4 linked regions of the Caenorhabditis elegans genome follow. The protein of the gene in region 2 interacts with the protein of the main gene of each other region in a pairwise test. Each region holds a gene or a part of one and is shown on either strand. Other genes may lie near its edges.

Evidence for each region.
Region 1: the proteins of B0303.7 (region 2) and paic-1 interact in a two-hybrid assay, tested with the Caenorhabditis elegans proteins (one large-scale study listed by BioGRID).
Region 3: the proteins of B0303.7 (region 2) and dhs-25 interact in a two-hybrid assay, tested with the Caenorhabditis elegans proteins (one large-scale study listed by BioGRID).
Region 4: the proteins of B0303.7 (region 2) and ced-6 interact in a two-hybrid assay, tested with the Caenorhabditis elegans proteins (one large-scale study listed by BioGRID).

Annotation. Positions count from the first base shown.
Region 1 is NC_003280.10:4,368,379-4,375,611, forward strand, and holds paic-1 (Phosphoribosylaminoimidazole-succinocarboxamide synthase), read right to left. Parts: upstream 4,148-7,233; 5' UTR 4,138-4,147; coding exon 4,042-4,137; intron 3,530-4,041; exon of another isoform or gene 3,460-3,529; intron 3,256-3,459; coding exon 2,767-3,255; intron 2,470-2,766; coding exon 2,293-2,469; intron 1,965-2,292; coding exon 1,680-1,964; intron 1,636-1,679; coding exon 1,435-1,635; intron 1,393-1,434; coding exon 1,369-1,392; 3' UTR 1,247-1,368; downstream 1-1,246. Other genes in the region: try-9 (Peptidase S1 domain-containing protein), read left to right, coding at 112-417, 571-760, 806-933, 1,025-1,240; ntl-2.1 (NOT2/NOT3/NOT5 C-terminal domain-containing protein), read right to left, coding at 4,568-5,024, 5,509-5,724, 5,786-5,939, 5,990-6,116, 6,190-6,320, 6,851-6,970, 7,214-7,233.
Region 2 is NC_003281.10:8,690,091-8,699,621, reverse strand, and holds B0303.7 (SH3 domain-containing protein), read right to left. Parts: upstream 6,001-9,531; 5' UTR 5,968-6,000; coding exon 5,880-5,967; intron 2,678-5,879; exon of another isoform or gene 2,572-2,677; coding exon of another isoform or gene 2,562-2,571; intron 2,264-2,561; coding exon 1,907-2,263; intron 1,640-1,906; coding exon 1,394-1,639; intron 1,272-1,393; coding exon 1,090-1,271; intron 1,037-1,089; coding exon 428-1,036; 3' UTR 101-427; downstream 1-100. Other genes in the region: sdz-1 (Skn-1 dependent zygotic transcript 1 protein), read left to right, coding at 1-56; B0303.4 (transmembrane and ubiquitin-like domain-containing family 1 protein), read right to left, coding at 6,678-6,880, 6,932-7,420, 7,884-8,414, 8,681-8,735, 8,784-8,880, 8,942-9,070, 9,118-9,287, 9,374-9,508.
Region 3 is NC_003284.9:1,483,801-1,490,591, reverse strand, and holds dhs-25 ((3R)-3-hydroxyacyl-CoA dehydrogenase), read right to left. Parts: upstream 4,061-6,791; 5' UTR 4,018-4,060; coding exon 3,978-4,017; intron 3,398-3,977; coding exon 3,156-3,397; intron 3,033-3,155; coding exon 2,958-3,032; intron 2,615-2,957; coding exon 2,441-2,614; intron 2,276-2,440; exon of another isoform or gene 2,255-2,275; intron 1,679-2,254; coding exon 1,463-1,678; 3' UTR 1,266-1,462; downstream 1-1,265. Other genes in the region: F09E10.5 (Globin family profile domain-containing protein), read left to right, coding at 18-215, 261-321, 381-459, 758-920; D1005.10 (C-type lectin domain-containing protein), read left to right, coding at 4,407-4,515, 4,631-4,686; D1005.4 (Activin_recp domain-containing protein), read left to right, coding at 4,801-4,920, 5,270-5,383, 5,543-5,692; acly-1 (putative ATP-citrate synthase), read right to left, coding at 6,505-6,791.
Region 4 is NC_003281.10:5,593,068-5,599,323, reverse strand, and holds ced-6 (Cell death protein 6), read right to left. Parts: upstream 3,554-6,256; coding exon 3,400-3,553; intron 3,055-3,399; coding exon 2,777-3,054; intron 2,619-2,776; coding exon 2,328-2,618; intron 2,279-2,327; coding exon 1,840-2,278; intron 1,790-1,839; coding exon 1,473-1,789; 3' UTR 1,253-1,472; downstream 1-1,252. Other genes in the region: wdr-37 (WD repeat-containing protein 37), read left to right, coding at 1-1, 383-655, 705-1,207; ucr-1 (Cytochrome b-c1 complex subunit 1, mitochondrial), read right to left, coding at 5,193-5,257, 5,324-5,453, 5,504-5,714, 5,767-5,884, 5,936-5,993, 6,043-6,256. UniProt on the Caenorhabditis elegans protein: May function as an adapter protein in a pathway that mediates recognition and phagocytosis of apoptotic cells during normal development. Promotes engulfment of cells at both early and late stages of apoptosis.

The sequences.
Region 1 (7,233 bases), on a different chromosome or scaffold from region 2:
GTGCCAGGATTTACCACTTTGTCCTCTCATCGCAGAACTTCTGAGGAATACAAGGCATTGTACGGTAAAGAAGTGAAAATTGGTGAAGCCCCATGGGCGGTCTCATTGGCTATGAAGAAGCGAATTTCTGATGGCTCGGGATCTTTTAGAAACGGCGGAAATAAGTTTTCGGAAAATGAATTTGTTCAGCATGGAACCGGAACATTAGTCTCTCCATGGCATATTGTAACAGCTGCTCATTTGATCGGAATCAGTGAGGATCCTCTGCCTGACTGTGATACTGGAAATCTCAGAGAAGCGTATTTCGTGAGAGACTATAAGAATTTCGTGGCATTCGTTAATGTGACATGTGCGGTTCCAGAGATGTGTAAGGGATTGCATAGGAAGGATATGTTCAAGCCACTGGCGATAAAGTCGGTGAGTAGATTACCCTTACAATTAGGCTTAGGCGTAGGCTTTGGTTTTTTCTTAGGCTAAGGCGTAGGCCTAGTCTTAGACGCAAACCTAGGCTTAGGCTTAGGCTTAGACGTAGGCTCACTTAGTCTTACTAAACACATATTTTCTTTACAGCTCTACATCCGAAAAGGCTATGTCGGAGATGGTTGCATTGATCGAGAATCATTCAACGACATCGCCGTGTTCGAATTGGAAGAACCCATCGAATTCTCAAAAGACATATTCCCAGCCTGTCTTCCATCTGCTCCAAAGATCCCGAGGATCAGAGAAACCGGATATAAGCTTTTTGGTTATGGAAGAGATCGTAAGTTCCGATTTTTATGTGATCTTTTGAAATTTTTAATTCCAGCTTCGGATAGTGTTTTGGAGTCTGGAAAGTTGAAATCGCTATACTCGTTTGTTGCGGAGTGCTCCGACGATTTCCCATATGGCGGGGTGTATTGTACGTCGGCAGTGAATAGAGGATTGTCTTGTGATGTTTGTTTTTAAAGTTTAAAAGTGTTTCTTCAGAAGTAGGCAGAACAATGCCTACTTGCCCAAGATGCCTAATAGTTTCCACTGATTCCAGGGTGACAGTGGCTCGGGAGTTGTCCGAACATCGGACACTCGAAATGTTCAAGTTCTCGTAGGTGTTTTGTCAGCCGGAATGCCTTGTCCAGAACTCTACGATACCCATAATCGTCAACGTCAGCAACGGAGACAGCTGACTCAAGAGACTGATCTTCTCGTGGATGTCTCGGCACACGTGGATTTCTTCTGCACGTGCTGTGGAATGTGCAGTTGAAAGTTTAAGATTCAAACATTTCATTTCGTTTTTAATATAAGAATGCTGAAATAAAAGTGAACGTTGAGTAATTAGTTAATTTACACAAGAAAGTTTTTGAAAAATCTGATTTCAATTCAGTCCTGCATCTATTCAAGTTTGCGATTGGCGTTCTGAAAGTTCAAAAATTAGAAATTCACATCTCTATCACTTACGTAAATGTTGATTTGATTCTTGAGCTGTGCAGTGAGCACTTTTCCAAACACAATATGATTGTGAGACGCGAGGATTTTTGCGGCGGCAAGCGCGGCCTCCGATGGGTCCAACACTGTAGTACACCCGATTCCATTCGGCATTCGGAGTGATGACCAAATGTCAAGACTCGTTGATTCACTTGGTGGCGGGCAGTTGATCACCTGAATTCTTTGAAATAAAGATCATCTGATCTTTCAAGTCCTACCGGAAGAGACGAGTTTCCAGCAATAACTGGACCGAGTCCATTGGATCTTCCAGCTACTGCAATCACAACTGTCGGAACTCCACTTTCTTCGAAATCAGCGATAACTTCCAGAGTGTCCGAGGTAGTTTTATGAGCTGAGCTTACTTTCAGCGTAGTTTCCAGTCCAAATTTCTTGGCTTCATCAGAGATTTTCCGTGCGAATACGCCATCCGAACCAGATCCCATGATCACAAGAACATGGCATTTTTGCTGGTGTTTTGAGAAGGTGGCAGTGATATCCATAACCTGGAAATGTTATTGGTAGGTAGATACGCCTTCGTGTCTATGTGCCTGCCTACCTACTCAACGTGTCTACCGAAAATTGTAGGTATGCATATTGGCAGAAATCAGGTGCAGATCGCCTTGCAGGCAGGCAAGTTATTGTGCTTACACGAAAGGTTTGATTCGCGTAAAAATCTAACAATTGATATATAGGATGATTGAATTTAGGTTTAGGCTTAGGCTTAGGCTTATGCTTAGACATGGGCTTAGGCTAAAACTTAGGATTAGGCTTAGTCTTTGGTTTAGGCTCAGGCATAGGCATATGCTTAGGCCTAAGCTTCGGCCTACTAACCTTTGTATAATTCTTCAAAACGAGAGCCAACCCCTCTTCTGTCACTTCCTTCATATCCCTGTAAACTTGCTTATCCAACTGCAGACGTCTATCATTTTCAGGCCAAACTCTCCACGAGTCATTGTCAATCACGTCGGCCAGGAGAATTTCTCCTTCAACTGTGACTCCGAATTCGATCTGGAATTTTCAGGTTTTCTTCAAAATTATTTCAAAATTACAACAACCGACAATTGTAAAATTCAGCGAAAAGAAAAACACACTTCTCCTCGTGAAGTACTCAAGCTGCGTAAATCGACACGTTACAGAAAACACCCAGTTTTAAATGGTGCTGATTTCCTTTCAAAATGTAAATATTTACAAAACGAATATATTGCAGACCGAACATTAAACTTACATACTTTTTATTATGTTTACTTTTTAAAGTTGAGACCGATAAAAAAAAAGAGAATAATAAAAACTTTGCAACACCCTCACCTTCATATCAATCAGAGCACTATTTGAAAGAGCCCATCCTTTCTCCAATGCTCTAAACACCAACTTTGTCATCTTCTTCATCAATGAAATCTCTTCTCTTCCAATTTTCAAATGATCAATCATCAAACCATTCGACACAATTTGTTCATCAGTCCATTGTGGATCATCATTAGCGTCGTCTTTGAAAAATGTCTCCAATTTCAGATCATTAAATCTGAAACCCTCTTTAACTCCAGGATTTCTCTTCAAGAAGGATCCTGTCGCAACACGTCGTGCCACCCATTCAATCGGAATCATGGTGCATTTACGGGCGACAAATTCAGTTTCAGAGATGCTTTTTTCAAAGTGTGTTGGTAGACCGAGAAGTTGAAGATATTCAAACACGTTTGATGTGGTTTTACTTGCGATTCTAGACTTTCCTTCAAGCTCATTTTTACGGACAGCGTTGAATGCGGTCAAGCTATCTTTGGAACGAATGAGCACATAATCCTGAAAAGATTTTGTTCAGAAATTGAAAAAGTTGGATTCAATTTTGTTGAAAAGCACATTATTATCGCAATCCAAACGGAAAAATTCAAATAGATTTCAAATTTACGAAATTGACCGAGTTTTTTCTAGGCTCCGTGAAAGCTCAGACACCGTTTTTACAGGAAATTTTCCGTACGTGTATTTGAAAAATGTGCTGAAAGAGTGGCCGAGTTTTCTCATTTCCTAGGCCACAAGCTGGCTATTTGCGGCGTGGCCTAGAAAACGTGAAACCTCGGCCACTCACCGACAGTGAAAACCGAACATTTCTTTCAAAGATTATTTTGAGCATACTTCTGAAAAATCTCTTCTGATAATTCGGTTGGCCGAGTTTTCGTGTTTCTAGGACACGCTTTTCTGAATATTATGTAGACGCATAAAAATGTGACTTGGGCTGCAAAAGCGCGCCACGGATAACTGAAAACCGGGTCTCGTTAGGTATTGGCGGTAAAACCGTATAATCCTACTTTTTTGCCGATTCCAGCACTTTCCAATCATTTCTCGTTGTTTTTAACGATTTTTATGTTGAAAAATGCAAAAAAAATTGGGTGAGATCGTCAAAAATTCACGTTCCCAACGAGACCCAACGTTTTGGGGCGGAGCTTGTCAGATTACTCGCGGAGCGCGTTTGCATCACGATTTCAAAAGGCGCTTTTAAAATATCTAAATTTTAATCTATAAAGCATTAAAAAATTAGTAGAAAATTAATGTTTTCCCAAATTTTTTGAATTTTCAGTGAAAAAAACCAACCTTTTCTCCTTTAATATCAAAGATTTGCTTGGTTTTTCCTTCAGCAAGAAGCTCCAAGTTTTCGGGTCTCGACGCGATTTCAGCCAACGACGACATGACAAACAATAATAGTATCGAATGAAACTGTGTTGCTATCACGGAACGATATCAGAACCCCCTTGTAGGCGAGTTTGTCATCGACAAACATCTTGTTTTCAGCCTTTTTCCCCGTCTTATCAGTTCGGTGTTGCGCCACTGAAAATACAGAGAAAACCGCCGCCGCCAGTCATTGTGAAGCTCTTTCTTTGAAAAATCACAGGTTTTCAAAGAGCAACTTGTGTATATCGATAATCGTTTATACGAAAACGTAGAGAAAAGAGGAAAAATAAGGAAAACGAAGGAAAAAAATGGGAGATTGGGAGAGAAAATGTGGAGAGAAAGAGGGGAAAAAGAGATGGAAAATGAGAGAGAAAGGGAGCAATTCGAGAACAAGATGACGAAAGTGGGATATAGAAAATTTGCACACGAGAGATCATCTTCTTCTTGTTTAGTTTGGAGTAGCTCGCGCCGCCGATGGAACGGCTCCCGGTTGCACATTGATTCCTCCGATTCCAGCTGCTCCAACACCACCACCACCCATAACTCCGTTAAGACCCGCTGGTGCCGGTGGAGTGATTTGTCCGCCACCGCCGCCACCTGTGCCGAGCGTCAAGTTATGCATCTGAAGCATCAGACCCGTCTCCGGACCGCTCGGAAATTGTGGTCCTTGGAAAAAGTATTTGTAGGGTGTCGGTTGTCCGGAAACTGATTGCGGCATTTTCGGCCGATCCTCGAGCTCTTTGTACTCCAACTTTAACTCTTTCGGAATTTTTCGCCATTGCATCTGATCGAACACGTTGTAATGCCCTTTTTCATAATTTCCCGTCTGTTCTTTCACTCCACCGTACTGAGAACGCGTCAACCACACCTGTTCGCTTTTGTGAAATCGCCATTCGCGAGCGTACCTGCAAAAAATTTGAAAATATAATGATTGTTTCGTGATAAAAAAGATTTTCTCAATTGCTAACATAAAATATATGTTTTTTTCAATTTTCTAGCTAAAATTTTAAAATTATTAATAATTTGATTCGTGAACTTCGACCGCGACGTAACTGCAAACGGAGCGGCTCAATAATTTTTATTTTAACTTTTCGCTAAGAACGCGTGATTCACATGATTTTTCATAAATTTATATATGAGGCGAAATAAGAATCAACTAAAATGATGAACAATTATGCGATCTTAACGAAAAAGCGGATTTTCTTGAAAGTTTTTCGCCCAGAACGAGTGATTTTCTATCATTTTGGCCAATTTTTTATGCGTTTCATATGTAAATTCATGAAAATCACAAATTCTCGGGGAAAAAAAAAAACTAAAATAAATTTTTTAAACACGACGCTCCGCTCGCGGTCATGGTCGATGCAGGTTTTTGGAATAAACTTTACTTACAATTCGCACGCCGCCGCCACCTGATAAATCTCGTTTGGACAGTTGTAAAAAAGATAGAATAACACGTCTTCTGAAACTTTATTCAATCGCAGCGGTGGAAGTTTGTCTCGAATATGATTATGCGTCATGTACTCCTCGGGCACCTTCACGTCGAGCTCGTGTGCTCGAATCGGCGAATCGGCCCACGGACCACCAAAGTTCATGTACAATTTTCGTCTGAAACAGAGGGAAATTAGAGTTTTTCTGGGCTTTTCGGGCTTTTCAGGCCACTACTCACTCTGACAAATTCAAATTCAAGCCCAACGTCGTAAGATCATAACCTAACGCCAGTGAAACAATGGAAGGATTGTCAACTGTCCGAAGATATGTCACCAAACCCGCCATCCCAAACTGATCGTCAAGCATTGACGCTGGAATGTTTGTCACTTCGCCTGAAATTAACAATTATTATTTTAAATGCTTATTTTTAAAGTATTCCCACCATCAGGATGAGTAATAATCCCATGCATAGGTCCTTCTTGACTATTTCTTGATATCCCGCTGAGCCGCGAGGGGTCACAATCGCCTAGGGGTCCAGCAAAGTCGACTTGATGGTCGTCTGCTAACATCTGCAATAATTTATCGATTATTTGATTGTCATCGACGCAGAAATTTTGTTGACATTAAATTAAATTTAAGTACGTTAGCCAGTTGATCTCCAAGCATTGATCGCTGTGTTTGACCAGAACCGACGCCGGGAAGCGCGGGAAAATCCTCGTTCTGTATTTGGAACTCGGGATTTGTTAGACTGGGGTCCGATCTCATCAGGTTAGCTGAAAATTAATTTTTGCATGGTTTAACAACACAGGAACACGACAAAAACTGCGAAAATTCGGAGAATTTTTATGGAAATTCTGAACGAAAAATCTCTGCGGGGTACGGTCGATCATGGAATACGCAACCACCGTCACGGACTTTTGCACACATTCAATATTGATTTTTCTTAAATAAAAAATAAAATTTTCCAAAAGAATTCGGCGGTTTTTTCTCGAATTCATCGGAATTTTGCAGTAAAAATGAGTAAATTTTATCAGAAAATTTGCGTTTTGCCTAAAAACTCACGGAAAGAAGTTGCCAACATCGAAAAATTGCACAATTGCGTTCAAAACAGAATGAAACACGCATTGTAATTTTTAAAATGTTCAATCAGAATTTCGCGCGCGCGCATTTTCAAAGAGCAAACAAAAATTGATTTAAAAAAAAATATATATTCGCGGTTCACAACCAGCTATCGTACTTTTTTTTTTAATTTTTGATACTTCATGCTTTTCATCACACAGAAAGAGAAAAAAGTAAAATTTACCATAATTGGGTCTTTGTGCGCCGTAAAGATCTCTCGACGGCGATGACTGGGCAACGTTCAAAACACCTCCGCTCGTTGTTGGGATTGGGGAGAATCCGCCGCCGCCGAGTGAGGACGTTCCTGAATAGAAATCGATGAAATGCCTTGAGAAATGAAATAATTGTTCTAATTTTTTTTAAATATTGATAAAAAGGATGAAAGATTCAAGGAAAACATTTCCGTGGACTTCCACACAAGCAGGTCAAATTTAATATTTTAATTTTAATTTTTTTCCATTTAACAATAAGAATGAGAGTTCGACAGTGAGTTTTTCATAGATTTAAGAATATTCTCAAGCTAATAAAAAAAAATCAGTGAATTTACCTTTCGCGCCCAGTGATGGA
Region 2 (9,531 bases):
ATTTGGATGCACCAAGCCGATTTTTCTCGTCTACTAAAATTGAATGTGTCGTATAAATATTTGAATAATCGAACCTACATAATATTACGTTCATCATATTGTAACAAATTCTTCAAATTCATTATTCTCCTCAATAAATTTACTTTAACATTTTTCTGAAGTTTTGGAAGTTCACAAAATAACTATTATAGTAACGCAGAGAAATGAGCTATTTGAAATTGATCTACAAACGTTAATTGGAAACGCTAGGCCCACACTTGATAAGGCAATTTATTGAAAATACATTTCTAGAAAATTTGACAATCGGCACAAAACACGCATCGGGGAAAATTTGAATTTTGTAAATAAATGACATATTAGAAAATACAAAAAACTGGCACATATAAAGCTAGAAAGTGAATTTAGTGAGAAATAATCAAGACCAGAATCAATTTTCCAATTTGACAATATTCTTTGGCAGAATACCCGCTGGCAAAGTCTTGAAAGCTTCCAATTTTCCCTTGTAATAGTAGTCATCAACATCTTCCACAATCAATAAATGATCGCCACGTGTCACATAAAGATGTTTGGGATCTTCGGAATGATAGTCACCAGTGGCAACTGCCTTCTTCGGAGAGAATGCACATGCAATTTCAGCGATTCCTTTTGACGGTGCCTTCTTTGGAGATCCGTATGGTGGTCCCAAGAAGGTCTTCGGAACCATTCCCTGTTGTCCACGACATTCTGCGAGCAACCATTGAGCATCAATGTCTTCCAGGGCTGTGATGACGTCACCTTCGAATAATCGGAGGTCAGAAGCAACTCCAGAATCGTAATCATAAGATACAGTAACGGTTTGTTTGGGACCACTATTGTTTGTAATTGGATGAGAATAAGATGGAGCAGATGATGGAGCTGATTGTTTCATTGGAACTTGATAAAGATTTGGACAATCCACAAATTGAGATGGAAAGATTCCTGATCTACCAAAGCATTCACCTTCTAGCCATTCTTCATTTACACGAGCTGTTACCATAATTTGTGATCCGACAGCGAACTGAAAGAACATTCAGATTTACAAATATTTTTAGATGTCTTTTAAAAACTCACATTCAAATCTCCAGCTTCGTTCGAATTATAGTCATAGATTGCAGTTGCATATGTGCCTGAAGATGATCCAGATGGAGCTGCTGGTCGTGGAGGCAGAGCTGTGAAAGCTTCTTTCAATGGGATCTTGATGTCAAGGTAGGATGATGGAACAATTCCAAATGTGCGCTGGTTTTGATTCTCACCTGAAACAATGGAAGATTATGTATTGAGTAACTAAGTTTCAAACATTTAATGCGATTGTTTCTGCAAAAATCGAGAACATCTCCTCTTACTCCATATAAAAATTAATTTGAAATCAACTAACCATAAAACCACTCCGCATCCACTTTTTTAGAAATTAAAACCGTATCCCCAATTCTCAATCCCATCTCATCAGATTGTGTCGGAGCGTAATCAAACTTGGCAATTCCATAAGGAGTACTGATGGCTGGTGCCGAATAAGACGGGATTGATTGTGTATGACGTGGCACTGGAGGCGGGGCAACTGGTGCAGATGAAGAGTAAGAAGATGTTGAGTTGGATTGATACGATGGAGTTGCAGTAGAAGAATCTGAAATTTTAGAACTTTTTGAAGAAAAAAATAGTCGGTAGGCATGTCTCCAGATATTCCCTTGCCTGTTTACATTTGTACCTTCCGCCTACTTCCGGCAGTTAACTCGATATTAACTCGACATTTATCAGAATATCCAAGCTTTTTGGAAAATTTGGCAATTTACCAAAACGTTAGCTATAAATTTTGAAACATCTAAAACTTCGGAGTGTTTTATTTTGATAATCTTTTGTTTGATCTGTTTTTTTTTAATCTTTCAAAACTCACTGCTTGACATCACCGATCCTCCGATATGCATATTTTCCAATTGTGATCTAATTGCAGAATGTGATCCAGAAAGTTTTCCAGGCGATGTTCCTCCTCGATGTGGTGGTGGTGGTGGAACTGAATCAGACTTTCGATTAGCATCAGCAACTGCAAATGCAGCTGAGATCTTATTTCCACCACTTGGGTCCTTGACAGCATTCAACACTGCTCCACGTGCCTTCTCATCTTGTGCAACATTTTTAGCTGTTTGTCTGACGAATGGATTCTTGGCGGCTGCGATTGCGGCATTCCGAACCTCTGGTCTTTTGGCTGACTCGAATAATGCCTTGGCGGCTGAGACTGAGAAGGTACTGGTATCTGGAAATATGGTTTACTAAATAGATAGGATATGAAAATAAACAAAGCTTGGTTTATTTGAAATGGAGCCTTAACTAATGTTATCACTTGGTTCATAAAAAAAGTTGGCGTAATTGTTTTTCAAATCAAGTTTTATCTGGCCTATAGGCAGGCAGGTAGGCATTTCCTGCTTTCATGGGAGTCAGAATTTTAGCTAGAACTTATGTAGTTATATAATATCTAAATATCGTCTTCAAGAAATCCTTACTCTCAGGACATTTAGATAATACGAAACTGTAAATAAATTTTCAAATCTTACCTTTTGACATGAAAATTGAGCACCAGCCCGAACAAAAGAGCGTGAGAAACCCTAAAACTGCCAGAAAAAGAAATAAAAAGAATGAGAACTGGGGAAATCGATGGATGGAAGAAAAAGGAAAAAGACTAGGAATACGAGAGAGTGTATAAGTTATAGAAACGCAGACAGATAGGCAATGGAAACTCTTGTGTTTGCCGAGAGAATGAGAGAAAGTGACGAATGTATGTTGTGACTAGACACACCTCGGACACATATTTCGACAAATCATTGAAAAAAGACACGTCATTCGAGCATGAGTCATCATAGCTTTCCAGAGCATCCTGTTATTTCTTCTTTTATTGTTTTAAATAGATAAAATATACAGTGTGGGAAAGTTCTATAGGACCCCCCCTAATTTGAAGGTTTGAGGAACTTCCGAAAATTTTTTTGAAAAACTGCTAATGCCATTCGTTTTTAAATTGAAAAAAACCTATATACATTTTTTTCCAGAAGTTTATCTCAAAAACTGAGGTCGCGCTGGAAAAAACGTCAAAATCCAGTGTGAAACTTCTATAGGACCCCCCGTTTTTTTTCACGATTTTTACTAAAATCAACAGATTTTGGAATTTTTGACAAAGCTCAAATCAAGTTTGAGTTAGAAATGAGTTCAGATAAGCAGTTTTGACTTTAAAAAATTAATACGAAATGTTCTCGTGGGATCTCCAGACTGGTTCTGATTCTTCCGATCTTTGATGTTCAAGTCTGTTTCAAGCTTCCTGGTGCTCTCGGTAATGCCAAAACTTGATAAACTCTCTTTAACAAGTTCCTACTAAAATTCCTAGCACACACACCATAAACATTTTTACGCCATCCCCAAGAAACCAGTCAGAAACAGCGTATTAACAAGTTGCAGTTATTTTTGATCAACAACAGAACATTCATATACTAAAATCAAGAAAGGATCAATAGTTAATCGGGTTTCCTTGTGTGCGGATGATCTCAATCAGTCTGTCCTCCATTGATCTGACCAAACTTTTCAGCTGGTTGTCCGGAATAGACTTCCAAGCGTCGAGAATTCCTTGCTTCAACGATGCAACTGTTGGGTAAGTCTTGTTCTGAGCATACACGATACGGACAAGAATCCCCCACAAATTTTCGATTGGATTGAGATCAGGACTTCGAGCTGGCCAATCAAGAAGGTTGATCTTCTTGAGCTTGAAATAGTCGCGGGTTGAGTTGCTCACATGGATTGTCGCATTATCCTGCTGAAATCTAAAGTCTTTTCTGGAGTAGTGACGAAGATATTTGGAGAGCTCCAGTTCCAAGACGTTCTGATAGTCAGTGCTGTTCATCTTGCTACTGACGAACTGTATCTCAAGCTTCTTCTTCTCCGTGAACGCTCCCCAAACCATCACCGTTCCTCCTCCAAAATTACGTCTCGAAAAAACCATTGGTTCCTTGCGCAAATCGCGCCAATAGTAGCGGCAACCGTCAGGCCCATCGAGATTGAATTTCTTTTCATCGGAGAAGACAACCTAAAACAATGATCCTAATTATTCACTCTTGCTTTTTTAAATTCTCACTTTACTCCAATTCGTTCCCATATTGTTCTTAGCAAATTCCAATCGCTTGAGTTTATGGTCTGCAGAGAGTAACGGAGCAGGGCGAAGTTTCTGACGAACGATTACACCAGATCGTTTGATGACATTGAGGATGGTCCTTTTTGAAGCAGACAATTGAAGCTCATTGCGAATATCTCTTGCCGTCTTACAGGAGTTGGAGGCAGCACGAATCACATTTCGTTCGTCACGCACGGAGAGAGCTTTGCGACGAGGAGCTCTTTTAGATGTACCGTAGCTCACCGGATCCTTCAGATACTCGCGAATACAGTGTCGAGAACGGGAAATTTTCCTACTCATTTCATGCAGGGACACATTGAGCAATTTCATAACATCCAGCTGAGCGCGTTCAGTGTCCGAAAGGGCAGATCCTCGAGGCATTGCAAGTTAGACTGCTTTCGAAGTAAGCTTTCCAGCCTCTATATGTGTGCCACAACACATGCCACAATTCCACATTTAATAATTCACGCAAAAAATAGTAAATAACATCTGTGAGGGACAATTTAACTTGAAATATTGGTCCCATGGAACCTTGTAATCAAAGAAAAACGATTTGATTCCTGATAAGCCTTCCATTGTTTCCTGCTGCATATTTTGCCAAATCAGCTTGACTACACAGTCGAAACATCTAAAGTGCGTGCTAGGAATTTTAGTAGGAACTTGTTAAAGAGAGTTTATCAAGTTTTTGCATTACCGAGAGCACCAGGAAGCTTGAAACAGACTTGAACATCAAAGATCGGAAGAATCAGAACCAGTCTGGAGATCCCACGAGAACATTTCGTATTAATTTTTAAAGTCAAAACTGCTTATCTGAACTCATTTCTAACTCAAACTTGATTTGAGCTTTGTCAAAAATTCCAAAATCTGTTGATTTTAGTAAAAATCGTGAAAAAAAACGGGGGGTCCTATAGAAGTTTCACACTGGATTTTGACGTTTTTTCCAGCGCGACCTCAGTTTTTGAGATAAACTTCTGGAAAAAAATGTATATAGGTTTTTTTCAATTTAAAAACGAACGGCATTAGCAGTTTTTCGAAAAAATTTTCGGAAGTTCCTCAAACCTTCAAATTAGGGGGGGTCCTATAGAACTTTCCCACACTGTATATTGCAAGATTTCCTATAATTATCTACATACTGACAAGTGCGAGAACCTTTTCTTGGCTCCAAAACGAAAAATCTATGAACAATATGTGGAAATTTTGTGGTAATTGTGACAGCAAATGTTTTTTAATGAAATTTAAAAAAAATTTCAATATTTTCCAACTTATCAAATTATATTACCCATATGCCAAAAATAGATGCCTGGTCTCGACACGACAAATGCTTGCTGGATTCAAAAGAATATGCGCCTTTAAGGGGTACTGTAATTTCAGACTTTCGTTGCAGAAAATTACAGTACTCCTGAAAGGCACATATTCTTTATCACTATTAAAAAATTAGTCGTCTCAACTTTTCCGATAAAGCTGCCGTAGGAATTTACATTTTCGTGTCTGCCTCTAGCCTTACTGCCTACATACCTGCCTACCGCCTATTTTTGCGAATTTTGCCGTTCGCTCGCAGATCCTGCTTTCAGGTTAATTAAATTTATCTCAAAATTATAATTTCGAAAAGTGGTTTTTTTTTTCATTTAAAAATACATCGAAATTATTTTTAGAATTAATTATTTCTCTAAAAATCTCACAAACATCTGAAAATCAGCATAAAGTTTAAAAAAAAACTTACCAATATTCTCATTTATTCCATTTGAATTTCCAGATGTCCCACATATATTAGGCTTCCGTGGTGGCGTTGGAGGTGGTAGCCTTACCATTATTCTCAATGTTGGAGCAACTATCTATCTGGGTGGAAAAGTGAATCCAAAGGGGGTCTTGAAGGGTTTATTTGCCTCCAACTTTTCTCCATATTTACTCAACTCAATTGTGCTGCTGCCTTCTTCGAAGTTTACAATCAAACATCCTTTAGCACTGTATTTTTTGTAGTCCACAATTGTATAAAAGCTACCAATTTATTACTAGTGAAGTATCTAATGATGATGCAAAAGAAAGATGAAAAACAAGAACCGAGTCAAATATACACAGAACACACGGACGGGGTGGGGGGAATAAGAATTATTGAATAAAATTTCGCAGTATTCGATGTGTGTATGTTTGGATCTTCTCATCCTCTGTCTGATCCGTTTCAAGTGGAAAATTTTGAAAAAAAAACCAAGTGTTTTGATACCCATTTTGTGTGCAATTTTGTTGTGGCTAGAATCATAATGGTTTCGATTTGAAGTGTACAAGAATCTGAAAATTGAAAAATCTATTGCTGAATAAAAACAACTATTTATTTGTTAGCTTTTTAATCGAAACTCAATTTTAAAGCAAAAATTAATATTTCTGGTTTTTTTTCGAAAGCTTTTTTCAAAAGAAAATAAATTCATAACTTTTTCGTTTTCAATTAATTAAAAAGTTTTTTTGAAGTAAATTTAATTTATTTTTCCTAATAAATAAAAACTCACTGTGAAATATAAATTAAAATTTACAGAAGACGAATAGTCTCCTGGACGATTTGATTTTCCATCATTTCATTTTGAACCTCAACAGGATCCGGTTGGCGTCGTCGCTGACGTGAATAAACCACAAAAACGAAGTAAAGAAATACAATAATGAAGATCGAAAAGCCGACTCGATCAAATACATCTGGAAAGTAGTACAGAAATATGCTCACTGCGACCATTTGACCTGTAATAAATATTGCGTTTTGACGTGTTTTTTTTTGAAAATTAGAATCACCTCCAAAAATCCAAAATAATGTTGAAGTTTGCAAATGAGTTTCCTGATCATCATCATCTTGTTCCAACAATCCATTATCAACAAGTAAATTGCATACCCATTGGCTAATCGTCAGAAGTGTGGCTGGCCGAAGTAGATCTCGAATTCGATCAGGACGGAAAAATGCCAATCCAATTCCAGAAAGAATTGGAACCATTGTTGATAAAAGTAAATAGATCTGTCCAACATTTCTGTCCTGCGCAGCTCTTCTTCTTGCTGTTGTAACATTCTCATCAACTACTGGAACACTTTCCGACGGCATTGGAGTTGTGTCACGTGGAGCTCTGACGGATCTTCGAGGTCTTCGTCGAAAACCATTATTGACAATTGGAGGAAGAGTTGCTATTCCTGGTCGTGTATATGGTGTTGTACTAATATGACAATGAACTATACTTCCTGGTTGAAGACCATATTCTTCTAGCGTTCGATGATCTTCTCTGAGAAGTTGGCCTGAAAAATTCAGTTAAAAATTATTTAGGCTTGAAGAAAAGACTTTTAATTTTTTCAAATAGTTTTTTTTAATATTCATTTTTCCATTTGATTTTCAGGATTATGAGCCAGTGGTATTAAATTTTGGGAATTCTATAAAACTTTCAACTGTGGCACGTTTTCACAATTTTTCCAATCTATCAAATTATCAACAAAATAAATTGCGGTCGATAGGTACATTTTTGTGTCTTTCAACGAATACTTTAGATATAGGCCAATAAAATTGTGTTCTATATTTTCAGAAATTTTATGGAATTCGCAAAAAATAATCGTTAGATCTTTGTTTTCACTTATTTTTTATCATTTTTGAAATATTTTTTAAAAAGCTTTTTTGCCAAATGCCAAACATTTGTTTTCATTAATTTTTTTAAACTTTAAAATACATTACTAACTGTTTTTACTTTACATAAAAAATTAAAGATACCTTGATAAATGAGCCGTATGACCTGATTCGCAAGATTTGTGAAATGATCTACTTTGAACTTTGCTACAGTATCCTCCAGTGATGCATACGTGTTTTTCTCGGTATCATTCATAAACTTTAGCTTTATCAAAATCTTCCCTTCTGATGGTCCTTCGATTACTGGAAATTCGGATTCTTTAGTTTCTTGAAGAACTTGCTCCGGTTGAGCTTCTACTTCTTGATCATCCAGTGGCGGATCCTCATTTTGCTCAACTTCGACTTGCTCAATTTCTTCAATAGGACCTCCTCTATCAATTTCAATTTCAGTTTCTTCATCATCATCTTGACCTTCTTCTTCTTCATGATCTTCTATTATTGCATCATCTGAACTATCGTCATCGTCATCCTCTTCATCATCTTCTTCCTGTTGATCTATCACAATATCTTCTGTAAGCTCTGGTGTATCAGCGAACACTTGATTTGTTGGAGGCTGAGTTTGTGTTACATTTGACGTTCTTGTTGAAAGATGATGTTGCATATCCGGGTTTATTGCTGAAAATCCATACATTTTTAATTTTCAGGCGGGGATTTTACTTTTAATTATAAAAAAGGCCGGAATGACCGAATGTAACTGTTAAAAAATTAAGAAACTGATTCTAATTTTTTAAATGAATTAGTTTCATCTCTTCTCTAATTTTCAGGCTTTTCCTACAAAAAATTGAAAATAAATATTAAATTGTCGATTTTATGTCATATTTGAAGTTTTAGCTAAAATTGTTCGGGTAAAGTTTCGAAAAAAAGCAATATGAAAAACTTACATGGAGTCGTATACGTAACGTCTGTAGTAACGTAATCATGTCGTGAAGAATTTTCCTGAACCAAAATAAATTATTTTAAAATCAATTTTTTTTCTTCATTTACGCTGGGTCTCGACTCATCAACTCGAGTATTTCCAGATCGTTCTGTTGGTGGACGAAGTTGAGGCCTGTACGTTCGAGACATCAAAGATGCGTCGTCTCTGGAAAAATACAGAATTTTTGAATGTTTTAAACCTTAAATTAAACTTTTTAAAAACTAACCCTCTAGCTAAAATTGCTATCGCCGCTGCAGCAGCATACTGACTATCCCTTGTGGCGTCAGGCACGTGACCAGCACTCGGTGGCGGCATTTCAATGTCCCATAATGTTATTAGGTCAACGTCTGGTGATCTGGAATTGGAAATATTAAACATTTGAATACATTTTTAAAAGTAAACCTTGCAGGAGCTGGTGAATCAATAACCGTATTCGGCGACTGTATCACAATATTTGTATCAGAAATTGCCACTCTTTGCTCTCCTTGAATTCGTGGAGCTCTTGCCCTCATTCGTTGAACTAATCGTTCCCATGTGACGGGCGGTGTGAACTCTTGACCGAGATGAAGAACCTGTATTTTGAAGTTTAGAAATTTATTCGAAATTTTCCAATAGTGTTTTTCGTTTTTTTTTTCTTTTAATATTTAAATAAAATTACCTGCACCATCCTCCTAGTTGTCCAAGTGTGCATTTCTACAACAAATAAGTTATAATATAAAGGCCTTCGAGCAGAGATTTGATATGATAAAAGTGCACATGCTATGATGATTAATATTGCGACGACTGTGCTTAGCTGAAAATAGTTTTTTTTAGATT
Region 3 (6,791 bases), on a different chromosome or scaffold from region 2:
ACTATTTATTTTCTCAGAAACATATTGACTTCATTTCTCTCACATGCTACGAAGGTCCAGTATGCAATAATGACAAGAAAATCATAGAAAGTGTCTGGAAAAAGATTATACAAAGTATCAAAATTCATTTTGTGTACGGTTGGCACCACAAGAAGTACACAATGACCAGAGAGGAAATGGAATATTTTCACAAGGACAAAACTGTCGCTGAACCGGTGAGAATTTTATCATCTTGAAATAAAATTTTTGAGAAGTTTCAGACCAGATCGAGACTTATCACAAAACTAGCACGTCTGATGAGCAGGGAGAGTTTCAGTGACGGTAAGTTTTGTAGAATTATTATGGTCTTGCCAAGAAAATTTTATTTTCTTCCTTTCCAGCTAGCATTGAGGAGAAGGCGTCTCCGACAAGGAAGCTGTCGCATGGTAGTTTACAAACGTCGGCGCCCGGGCCATCCAGGTAATCACGTGGAGTCAGAAAGTCCCAATTCGTTTTGATTTTCGAAAAATGCGGAAGGTGAGACGCAGACTTCTCAACTGATTTCGCATGTTAAGACCTTGCTGACGTTACAATTTTTCTGGGGAAAAGTTCCGGCATTTTTTGTAGATCAAACCGTATTGAGACAGCCTGACACCACATGGGTGTCTACGTTCAGTTCAAACTTTTATGCGCAAAATCTAGAAACAGGTGTTTTTGTGACATTAACATTTTCAATTGCTAAAAATAAAATTATACAGTTTCCAAGTAATAAATTCAGAATCACGGTACCAACACGTTCCACTCAACTTCGAATCAACACTTCACACTCCCGCGAGGAAGACATTGACGAGTCGGCTCCTATTGAAATTTGTGACATTAGTTTGGATTTTGTGAATAAGCCTGATGAGTATTCTCCGATTAATGTTTCTAGACATTTTTGAATAAGTTACTTGAGTTTTTTTTCAAAATTAAAATATTTCACTTCGGGCAGTGACTAAGAAACATTTAGCAAAAAAATGTTTGCACTAAACAAAAAATGTTTGCACTGACCAAAAAATGTTTGCACTGACAAAAATGTAATTTGCTGGGTTCATTAACATTTAGTTTAGAGTTTTCCTATTTATCAATAACCTTATACTCAAATTTTGTTAACAAAACGTGAAAGTTTTCAATTGAACAATTATACAAAACAGTTTTGTTAAACCTTCGTGCAATAATTTGAATAACATTTATTTCATTTTTTAATTATAATGTATATTTGATCACTAATAAAGATATCCCGATTTAAAACAAATATTCATTTCATGAAACAAAGTTAATCACAATATCAACAAAGATTCTAAACCAAGCTACCTGCTTACTTTGAGGGCATAGTTTCAGATTTTTTCATAGACTTTCAAAAGTATACATTAATTAAATAAAAATCTCCAGAAGTTTTAAAATCCACGATATAAACCGTCAAAGTAAAAAGTCTAAATTTAATCTACATACTAAATCCACCGGTAACTTCCAAAGTGGCACCAGTCACATATGAGGAGAGATCAGAGGCAAGGTACAAGACGGAGTTGGCGATTTCCTCGGCTTCACCCATCCGGCCCATTGGAATTCCCTTACAGATTTCGGCCAACACAGTCGGTGGCATTGCCTCTGTCATTGGGGTCTTGATGAAGCCTGGGAGCACTGCGTTCACACGTACGTTCTGGAAAAAATTTCAGTAAGATGGTAGTGGTCAAAAGGCGATTCCCCCGAACATGGTGCATCGAGATTTTAATTTTTTTTTGGTATATCTACTGAATATTTAAAAAAAAACGTTTAAATTAATTTTCCAATAATGATAGCTACATTTGAAATGTTTTCTATGTACAGCCAGTACCAGGCATGCAAAATTCCTTTCAAAACATGGTGCATCGAATGCTTTTTAACGTCGTGAATACATAGTTCTCCAAAGTTCAAAGCGGAATTGAACTATTAAGTTCAGGCCTCAGTAATCATGCAAAATTCATTTTGCAACATGGTGCATCGAAAAGAAAAAAAACTATGCAGTTTTCCAGTTTTGACATTTTTCTGGCAGTACATGTTAATTTTTAAGACCTAATCACTAATGAAATTCTCAATAAAAATTTTTTAGCAGAATATAACAAAGCTCATTTTAAAACATACGTAGTGCACCAAAAAATAATTTTTCGTAACAGTTTGAACATATTTGAACATATTTGAACATAGGAAAGTCTAGTGCATTTTATTGTTTTCGACGTGATACTTTTTTGGGAAACAAAACTTTAGTTTCAATTCGTCAACGAAATCTCTTTTTTATTGCTTTGTCTATTTTAAAACATAGTGCAACAGAGGTGTGCACAAAAAAGTATGGGCCGGTAGATTTAGATATTTTTCACTATATTTTCGTATAAATTTTATATTATATTTCTATTTGAGATTTGCCGCAAAATCAGAAACTACTCACCTTTTTCGCCAACTCTTTCGCTGCAGATTTTGTGAACCCGATGACTCCGGCCTTGGTGGCTGCGTAGTTGGTTTGGCCGAAATTTCCCATTTTGCCGACAATTGATGAAACATTGATAATTGATAATGGGTGGTTGTTGTTGTCAACTGATGCTTTGACAAATGCTTGGGATACCTGAAATTGTATTTAAAACATTTTGGAACTGATGTAAAAATTAGTAACTTTCAAGTAGATATTAAATTTTTGTTTTATAGTTTTTTTTTCATGCTGAGCAAGCTTTCTTATCTGACAACCAATGGTAAAATTTGGGGGAGAGTCTAAAGTTGTGCGCCGTCACGATCGGTAGTCGCAAGTCAAAATTTAAAAAAAAAAACTGTAAAAAGGGTATAAAATATTATTACCTCTTTGATTTTGTTATCTTTATTCTGACAGTGTTTCAATCACTTTTAAAAAATAATCTAGGATCACACTGTATCGGAAAACTTTTTCGCCTCAATTTTCAGAAAAAAAAACTCACATGGAAGACTCCGGTAAGGTTGACCTTAATGACACTGTCCCATTGCTCCTGCTTCATTTTTAGAAGTGTAGAATCCTTTAAAAAAATTTTTGTTTCTTTAGTTCGCTAGACACATATTTTGACTCCAACAGCACCTTTTTAGTAACAAAGGATTACTGTAGGTGTACGATTTAGGATGAATTTGTAAAAAAACCGAACCTTTGTGATCCCTGCACAATTTACCAAAATCGACGGTGTTCCCAGCGATTTTACATGCTCACTGAGCCCCTTCACACTGTCTGCATTTGACACGTCACAGGCAAACGAGGAATGGCTCTGGCTAGCTGGAAGAGCCTTTGCAGTGGCTGCAGCGTTGCCGGAATCCAAATCGGCAACTACGACACGAGCTCCATGCTTGGCCAACGTCTGCGAGATGGCCTTGCCGATGCCGGATGCACCACCTGAAAATTGGCTCTTTTTGGTTTTTGCTCTTTTTACATTGTGAGTTCTGAAAAACGCTATAAATATACATATAGCGTAAGCTACCGTATTCTATTTCCCACACTTTAACATTCATTTTTTCTTGGATTATGAGAATAAAAACATTTTTTATTAACGTTTTTTCTCAGGACTACAGAAAAAATGTGACTTTCGAGTACGTTTCATGTTGCAAAAAGCTGGAAGTGAGCAGGTTTTTTGTGAGAGTAATTTCTGGGGGTTTCGGTTTGATCTAGTCAGGTGGTCAGTGCACTTGGTATGTTTTTTGCTTTTTACGGACCAAATGCACTGACTAAACGTGTGAAATGCACTGACCAACTTCAATGTCAACTCATATTTTACTTCTTTTATTTAACTCACGAAACGATATTTGCTCAATTTTTTTATTTTTAATTCTCAAAATCACTACAATTTTTTTTAATTTTTGCTAATTTTTTTTCCAAAAAATTTTTTTTTCCTTCTATTTTAAACTTGAAAAATATATTAAATTAGGTGTTTGCAATTTTTTTTTCAAAATAATTTTTTGCAAATAAAACAACTCACCGGTAACCACAGCAATTCGTCCTCCCAGCAAAGCACTCATAATTACCGACTGCTCGTTGCCCAAACTACAGAGACACTGGTGCGCTGTTTCAAACGCTAGATGATCAATATATACCTTCCCCGACAAGACAGTACATGCAAATGAGAGGTCACAGACACTTGGACGTTTGTCTATGACGTCATGCAACCTCTCACTCTTCAATTGTCTCTTTTCCAACGGGAAAAGTTTGACCTCGGAGGAACCTAGTGATGTGTGATTAGTGACTTGTGAAGTTTTCGGGAGTTGTAAACTTGAGAATTGGGAACAGCTCGGAATCACCCGATGATAGTGTGACTTCAAGATTTTTTCAGGCCGTTTTATCAAAAAATTACATGTGCTCAACAACAAAAAAAATGTCAAGTTGTTTAGTGCAAATTAGTTAGTGCAAAATGGCCAATGCAAATTGGTCAGTGCAAATTGGTCAGTGCAAAATGGCCAATGCAAATTGGTCAATGCAAAATGGTCAATGGTCAGTGCAAAGTGGTGTCAGTGCACTTGGTAAGTTAACGAGTTGCATAAATAGTTTGAATGTTTACGGCGCAATGAACACATTCAGAAATTAGTTTTGCAGTTCAAACTGAACTTAAAATTCCAATTTAAAAATATTTGACAGAAAATCAACAATTATGGCATGCAATTTCATACAAATGTGCGCAATTTGATAAGTAAGTACTAGTTGAAAATAAATCACAAAACCTGAAAATTTGCATTTCACATGACGAAAGCACAGTTTCCAATGCTTTTCACTGATAAAGCAACAGTTGCACACTTTTGAATTTTATGATGCCTACTTATTTCTTATTTATATCGATTTTTATTACCTTTATTATACCGGTAGCTTCGATACAGTGCTGGGCATTTTCACAAATGGATTATGAAGGCAAGACGCATACAGTCGGTAAGGTAAGGAAAATGAAAAGTTGTTTGAAAAAATAATTAATTTTGAACATTTATATTACTATAAAAAATGTATTAACTAAATTGAGTTGTTGTTGGTCAGTGCAATTGTTGAAAAAAACGTTTACTTCATTACTCTTTTTATTCAATTTTGAGAGGGACCTCTACCAATTCATAAATCACAAGTTCAAGCTCCCCTAAATCTATCCAGCCTTAATCTGGAAGTGGAGCATTAGAGGACTGGATTATAGGCCTTGGTCCCCGGCTTGAACAAGGCTTAAACTGAAACAAGTGCCACCAGAAAACTGAAACGGGCTCCAACCTTTCAATCATAACTATAACAATGAAATTTCAGACAGCTATCACCTGCAATGGCCTTTATTGTTTGACGCTTTCTGAGCAAGCATCTTATTTCACAGTGTTCAATGGAACGTGTCCCGATCCGACAGTGTCTATTACAAATTGTGATGTAAGTTTTTAATAGCACATATTATTTTGAGTTTTCAAATGTGTTCAGCGTTGGTTAAGTAATTTTGCTCATTTGATCTTAGCTAACTTTAGTAAAAATTCAAGCCAAAAGCGTTTTCAAAACTGCTGAGAGGTCTACAAAAAATATAATAAGTTTCAGACCAACGGAGTGAGCTGTCAAAAGGAAAAGCTTGGTGATGTTGATGTTAAAGCGTGTTGCTGTAATTACGATTTCTGCAATTTATCAGGACAGAGCTTTACTACTTTTTCAGCAATATATGTTTTTTGCATGTTCTTTTTCCTATTTTGAAAATTTAAATAATAAAAAATTGACAAAATAAAAAGTCAATTTTCAGAGCCTCTCGTTTAAACCTTTCCATAATTTTTAAGCCTGAAAATCCAATTTCCAGATGAGGCCTGTTTAAGGCCTATGTTAAGACTAGGTCACCACAAAAATTTCAGGGACAGAATTCAGCTCTGAACCCCTAAAATTACCGTTGGAAAGTGTTTCGGTTCATTTTTGTACTAGGTTCAAAACTCAAGAAATTGCGATTGAGATGGTTTTTTCATTTAAAAAATAAGAGTTTTTTTTTCATTAAAACAATCTAAAAATACATATTTCGGCCGAAATTTTTGGGTAAAAACCTGTATTTTAAACCTTTTTTTAGTTATATAAGTTTTTGAACACAAAAGAAAGCTAAAAAAAAAGGCCCGTGCTAAATTTTTTTGGCTTAGCATTTCTTAAGTTCCAGAAAATTCCATACTATACCATGCTTTATTGTCTAAGCTGAATAAATATCATCAAATTCAAGAAAAATACATTTTTGTAAGCTAAAAAGTAAAGCTCATGGGGTGCAATATTAAAGTTGAGAGTAGAGTACGGGAAATAAATTAATGAACAAGTTGAGAAAAAAAACCTTGTGAAATTATTGCTTGGTTGGGGGGAGATAGGGGACTTTTAGGGTACAGTGATTAGAAAAAATTGGAATGCTTCAGTTGCTTGGTCCAGGAGAATGTTGAAGGGTTGCGGAATTTACTGAAAATTGTTCATAATTATCATTGAAATTAGATATGAATTTTTTTGAAACTTGGTCAGTGCGTAAAACCTTAAGCAATTTATATTCAAAACTTTACCAAGTTGCTCTCCGGCATAATGTAGGAAATATCATCCCATGGATGACGGTACAATCCCTGCTTCAGACGCGACTGATCCAAGTAGTGACCGATAAATCCAATAGATCTACCCAAAACGAAAAGCCCATTGAGCGATCCAATCTCGATTGTCTCCTCGGCCTCCTGCTTGGTGAACATGCCACTGTGGCGAAGGATATCGACGAATAAGATCGCAATCGCTCCGTCCACGTTGAGAATGAGGTTCGGTTTTTTGGCGGTCGTGATCTTCTCGACCT
Region 4 (6,256 bases), 3.1 Mb from region 2:
GGTAAATTTTCAAAAAATTCTTAAAAATTGCAAAGTTTAGCGCTGAAAGTCGCCTAAAATCGCTGGTTTGCCAAAAAAGCAGACAGTTTCTAAAAAAAATAAACAAAAAAGTTTTCAATAGTTTGAAGACTATTGAAAACTTTAAAAACGATTTTACAAAAATTATAGTTGCCAGAAGGCGAAATTTTCGGATTAAAAAAACTTGAAACACAGTTTTTTCAATAAGATTTTGAAATTTCACCGAAATTTATTGAAATATTTTTTAAATTCTTGTATTTTTGAAAAAAAAACACCTAGAAAATGGGCGGGACATGGTAAGCCCCGCCCACAAAATGGACTTCTTCGGAATAATAAACTTCCCTATAGCTATAACTATTTTCAGCTCCATCCGATCACAGTTCCGAGGAAGAAGAGGAGCACCACCGAGATCCGAACAACTTGCTCGGCGTCGTCGAACACAATCGCTTCACCTCGTCCAGCGAAAAATCCGACGGTCATCGGATCCGTGTCCCTGTTATGCGGCTTACCGGACATCGAGCTCCTGTTAGCTGTTGTGAATGGCTTGCTGGAGGACAGCAGATGGTCACTGCTTCCTGGGATCGAACGGCAAATGTTTGGGATGTTGAGAAAGGAGAAGTTGTGAATATTTTAAGTGGTAGGGTGTCACAAAACGACTTTAAATTTCAAAAATGAATAATTTGCAGGTCATGAAAGTGAGCTTAATCACTGTAGCACTCACTCCAATCAAAAGCTCGTGCTCACCTCATCCAAAGACTCCACCTTCCGCCTCTGGGATTTCCGAGAAGCCATACAGTCGGTCGCAGTGTTCCAGGGACACCAGGATTCAGTGACTTCGGTCAGCTTTAACACGGACTATCGAATCGTGTCGTCCAGTGACGATGCTACTGTAAAAATCTGGGATCTTCGAAACATGCGAACCCCGCTGGCCACGATTCGGCTCTCATCACCGGCGAATCGTGTGGCGATCAGCAAGTCACATCCGGTCATCGCCATCCCAATGGATAATCGTCACGTCAGGATCTATGATCTCAATGGAAATCGCCTGCCACGTATGCCGAACCGCCGATGTCACGAACGAATGGTGACGTGCTGTGCATGGCTCGACGAGCATCCTGCCAACAATCTGCTCACCGCTGGTTTCGATAGAATGGTCGCTGCGTGGAAAGTCAATACAACAACTTCATAATATTTAAACTTTTTCTATTTGTTGCCAGAAAAGCTTTGTGACATTTTAGCCATGAGACATTCCAGTTTATTTTTCACATGTAAGTAAGTAAGTAATTTTTAAAAATGATAGCGTGCAAATAAATACATTCAGCTAATAAATTTGGCAAGCCGTTCGGCCAAACCCTGCTAGTAAAAGAATGATACAAGAATAGTACAAGAATGCAATGGAAAAAAATCACCGTGAAACGTAGAAAATTGGAAAATTTAAAAAAAAGGAAATAAACTTATTGCTTCAAATTCATCATTTTCGGATTCAAACGATCCGATGGTGTTCCATAATCGCTTTCGCCTTCGATTCCGCCAAGGTCCCCGGTTTGAAGCTGCCCGAACTCAAATGATCCACTACTCATCGCGGCAAGCTTCTTCTCCACTTCATTGATCATTGCATCATACTCTGCAGCGGTCTTTTTGGGTGGTACAGATGAGGATTCTGGCTTTGGAAGACGAGCGATTGCTTCAGAAGCGAGAAGTTCAGCGGAGGCTGATGGTGGTGCTTCTTTACCATTTTGAATGCCACTGAGGAAGTCCGCACCGAATGGATCTAGAAAATATTACTTTTTTGAAAAGATCTTTTTATTGTTGAAAACTCACTATACTCAGCTGCAGTGCTCTTTTTTTCTCCAGCTCTGGGATCAAACGAATCATCGAAAATATTACTAGGAGCTTTTTTTGCCGGCTCAGCTGACCCCAACTCCAATCCATCCAACAATCCCGCCGTGGAGTTTTTCGGTGAAACAACGGGGTTTCTGCGTGGAGCAACTGGTGGCGGAGGAGCCAGTGCAGGAGGTCTCGGTGGAGGAATTGATGGAGCTGGTCCAGATGGTGATGTGGATGCCGGGCTCACGGATGGTGATGCTCCATTTGATGATGTAGAAATCTGAGGGAGAGTTGGAGCCATTTCAGTTGGTGGAAGATCGTTGGCACGTGGCATGGAATATATTGAGGATGGAGGAATGTTTGGTGGAGGTCCTTGAGGCATCGGAGAAAGTGGAAGTGCTGGAGGACCTAATCCTGGATAGATTGGGGGACCCTGAAAATGTTATATATTAATAATTTGTTTTGTAATTTTAAAAAACTACCGTGTTCTCATAATCAGCTTTACTATTAGCCCGTAGAGCTTCTGCTAATCGCTCAATGAGCACTTGATTCTCGGTTTCAAGCTCCACAATCTTTTTCTTCAAAATGTATATTTGCTTCTGATTCTCCAAAGACGTTCGATTTTTATCAAGGAATCTCTTGTAGGCGAGATCAAAAGCCTCTCCGATAGTTAGAGTGATATCTTCAGCTAGCTTTTCTGATGTGAACGCGTAACAAGACGGCTTCCCACTAGCACCCTCGGCGCGAGCAATAAATGAGAACATTCGCTTGTCCTGAAATTTCGTTGTTGGGGTTTTTTCCGAAATTGTATGATCGAAAGTGTCAATCAAAGTTATTTTACTGTAGGAAAATCGAAAAATTAATGTTTATTTCTCAAAGTATTTCGAGTATTTTAAATTAATTTTTCTAGCTTCAACTCAAAATCTCTTACATCTTTATCATCAGCACAAAACGATATTCTTCCCAATGGAAAAGTGTACATTGGCGCTTTTGTCTTAATATCCGCAATGATCACATTGTCGATCGAGATGCGAATTTCCACTTTTTGCAGTTTCGCCGTCTCCCGCGTTTGTTCAGATCGTTTCAGATCGCGTTGAAATCGAATCGCGTGGATCGCTTCTCTTGCCACGTCACTTCCATTTGCTTTTGGAGTTTCGACGCATCCAAGGAACCGTGCAACATATTCCACATGGCCATTGATAAGATAATCTGAAAATTAAAGAAAAGAATAATTGTCGAATGAAGATTTTTTAATGTTCAAGATAATTCGAAAAATTATTTTTTGGAAAAGCAAAGACATTTATTTTTAAACAAAAATTTTATGAAATTTTACAAATTTCTAAAGCGACTTTACAAAAAGTTACAAAAAAGGCGTTAAAATTTGTTTTGGGAATTCGTAAAAAAATGTTTATAAAAATTTCATCAGGAATTTTTTTTTGAAAAATGTGTTGTATTACGGCATATTTTTAATAAACAACATATTTTCAATAAAAAGATGAAACAAATTGTTCAAACAATTTTTTTCAATTTTTTCAAAGTAAAAATTTAAAAAACCTGGCGGATGAATCCACGTTCTTCCGGTCCCACCACGATATTTTACTTGTGGTGCACTCGTCGACGGGCTTGAAGATCCTTCTCCATTAATATTATTTCCACCGACAATTCCGGAGACCGATCGTTTGAAGGTCTTGTAAATGTCTTTTGCCATCTGATATAGAAAAAGTTTAGAACATTTTTCGTTTAAAAAAATGGTTCAAAAAGTCTCAAGATTTCGGCGAAGAAATGGGGAGGAAAAGAGCAGAAAAGCAAACTGTGTAAACATAAAGAAAAGAAGAAGAATTGATAAAACGATGAGTCAGCAATGGAAATGATCATGAATTGGAGGAGAAATAGACGGATAAATTGTCGGAAACCGGATGATTCAATGAGTCAGTTGGAAGAGGGATCGGATAGATGTATTAAAGAGAGTCCATTATTAGAATAAACAATTTATAAAGGAAAAGGTTCTTTTGGTGGGTCCGAATGTAAATAGACTTTGAGTAAGTATAAACTTAGAAGTGGTACATAGGAGAGACGCAGATATGTCATCTTGTTGGGGTGAAAATTTTGAGAAATTCTGAAAGAATGTACTTGGAAAAAGAATTGAAATATAGTCACATGATATTTTATTAATTCATCGCAAGAGAAGAGAAAGAAATGAAACTTGTGATCGTCAAAGTGAAAATTGAAAAAAAACAAATTGAAATGTTTTTTGGACTAGAAAAAATTCAATCACGGGCTTTCACATAATATCCAGACAATTTTTGGACCAATAATTCGATAAATGTTCTCGACACGACAAATTTGTGCTAAATACGAGAAGGTGTGCTCCTTTAAAGAGTACTGTAGTTTCAAACTTTTGTTGTTCCGGAATTTTCATTTAATTTTAATGGTTTTTCGGGAAGTTTTTTTTTTAATTTAAATTTAAGTTGATCAATCAGGAAGTATGTTTTCATCGAAAAATCGTGAAAAACTGACAGCAACAAAAGTTGAAAAAACAAAGGTGAAACTACAGTACTTTTTAAAGGCGCACACTCGTGAACCAATAACACGACCATGTGTCGATTTACGCAGCTCGTGTACTTCTCGAGGAGAAGTGGGAATTCAGTATTCTACAATTTTACTGTTTCCTGTTAAAATTCTAGACTTTGGATCATTTTCGCTGATTTTTATTGAAATAAAGAATTACTAATTACTACTTGAAATGACAGTTAGTTTTTTTTTCAAGATTCGAAAACTTTCAGGTAAGAAATTAGCTGTAAAATGGAACGATGCTATTATTATTTAACGCCAGTCACCTATATACAGAAAGTTTCGCGTAAAGTGGGGTTCAGTAAGCGGATAGCCTCGGGTGAGGCTGACAATAAGTGTGCGAACGTGGTCAAGGCCAGTCAACCGGTGGACAAGAGATGCAATGGATCGGTCGGAGACGCAGATATCTTTCCGTCCAATTGGGAGTGGTCTTGTTGTGTTTTTTTTTTTGCATCGGGGGAAAATTGAGGGCGCTGATTTGATGGGCAGACAATCTCATCAGGAAATCATTCAGATATTATAATTCTGCAGAAAATAATCGAGCAGATATACATTTTCTGGCACAATTCGTCAATTCATTCATTTTACTCCGAACCGTACAAACAAATAACGCTACTCTAAATTAAAATTAATTTTTGGAAAAAGAAAATAAATGAACAGCAAAAAGTTTTCTAAAAAAGTGTATCTGACAACAGATAGAGAGAGAGAGAGACGGTGAACGAACAGCGAAAAGTACATAGGGAATCCGAGATGAGGAAGACGTCATCGTTCACTGCTTACATTCTCCACCACGACATACCAGCGCGAGTAAGGGCGTAGTTGGGGAAGGCTTCTGTGCGACCTAGAAAAGAGAAATTGTTTGCAATTCTCATAATGTAAAAACAACAGCAAGTGGAAAACTACTCACCAACTCCGACAGCAGCAAGATCACGATCGTACACATGTCTTGAAATAGCCTCGCGGACAGCTCCAGCGTCAACCTTTTGAATTTGAGCTTCAAGTTCTGACAACTGTCTGAGATTTCCGGTGTAAAGAAGCTGAAAATAATGAAATAACTATCCATAGCATTTTCTGCAGAGTAACAAACCTCCTTAGCGTTAAATCCAGCCTTTTGTGTGTTGGTCTCGAGGTTCTGGTACAAGTTGGTTCTGAATTGGTTCTTGGCCATGGCGACTTCTTCTTCTGTGGCAGCAGAGGCCAAATGCTTCCATTCGTGAGCAACAGACTTCATGATTCCGCTGGTGTCGTTCAAGTCGTGAGCATCAGCAACAAAGTAGATTCCGAACAATCCAGTGTCTCTGAAAAAAAGAAAATAAAAATTTAAATAAGCTTGCAAAAAAAGATACTTACTTGTAGTTGATGTTGAAATGCTGGAGGTTATGGACTCCGTGGTCGTGTCCGATTTTTTGGACAAGTCTGGAAGCAGCTGTTCTGGATGTAGCGTGGGTCACATCCCATTGGCCTAAAACTCATCAAAATTACGGTTTGAATTGAAAAATTCACACAAAAGCCAACTTACCAATGAATTGATTGGCAATTTGAAGAGCGAGAGCATCTTTGTGGGCATATCCAACACCCTAAAAATGAAGTAAAATGAAAGACTGAACACACATTTATTATTTGTACCTCAACAGCGAAAGCAGCATACATGTGTGGGACATTATCGTTGCGGTATCTGTATTCAGATCCGGTGAATCGTGTTCCATCGACCTGTGGAACCTTTCGTGGGTATTCGTTGCTCAAGTCTCCGAAATATTTATCGGCGAGGCTTGAAACATTGGAAACTCCTCCTCCGACAGCGGACAGAACCATGCGCACTGGTCTGTAATGATCCTCTTGC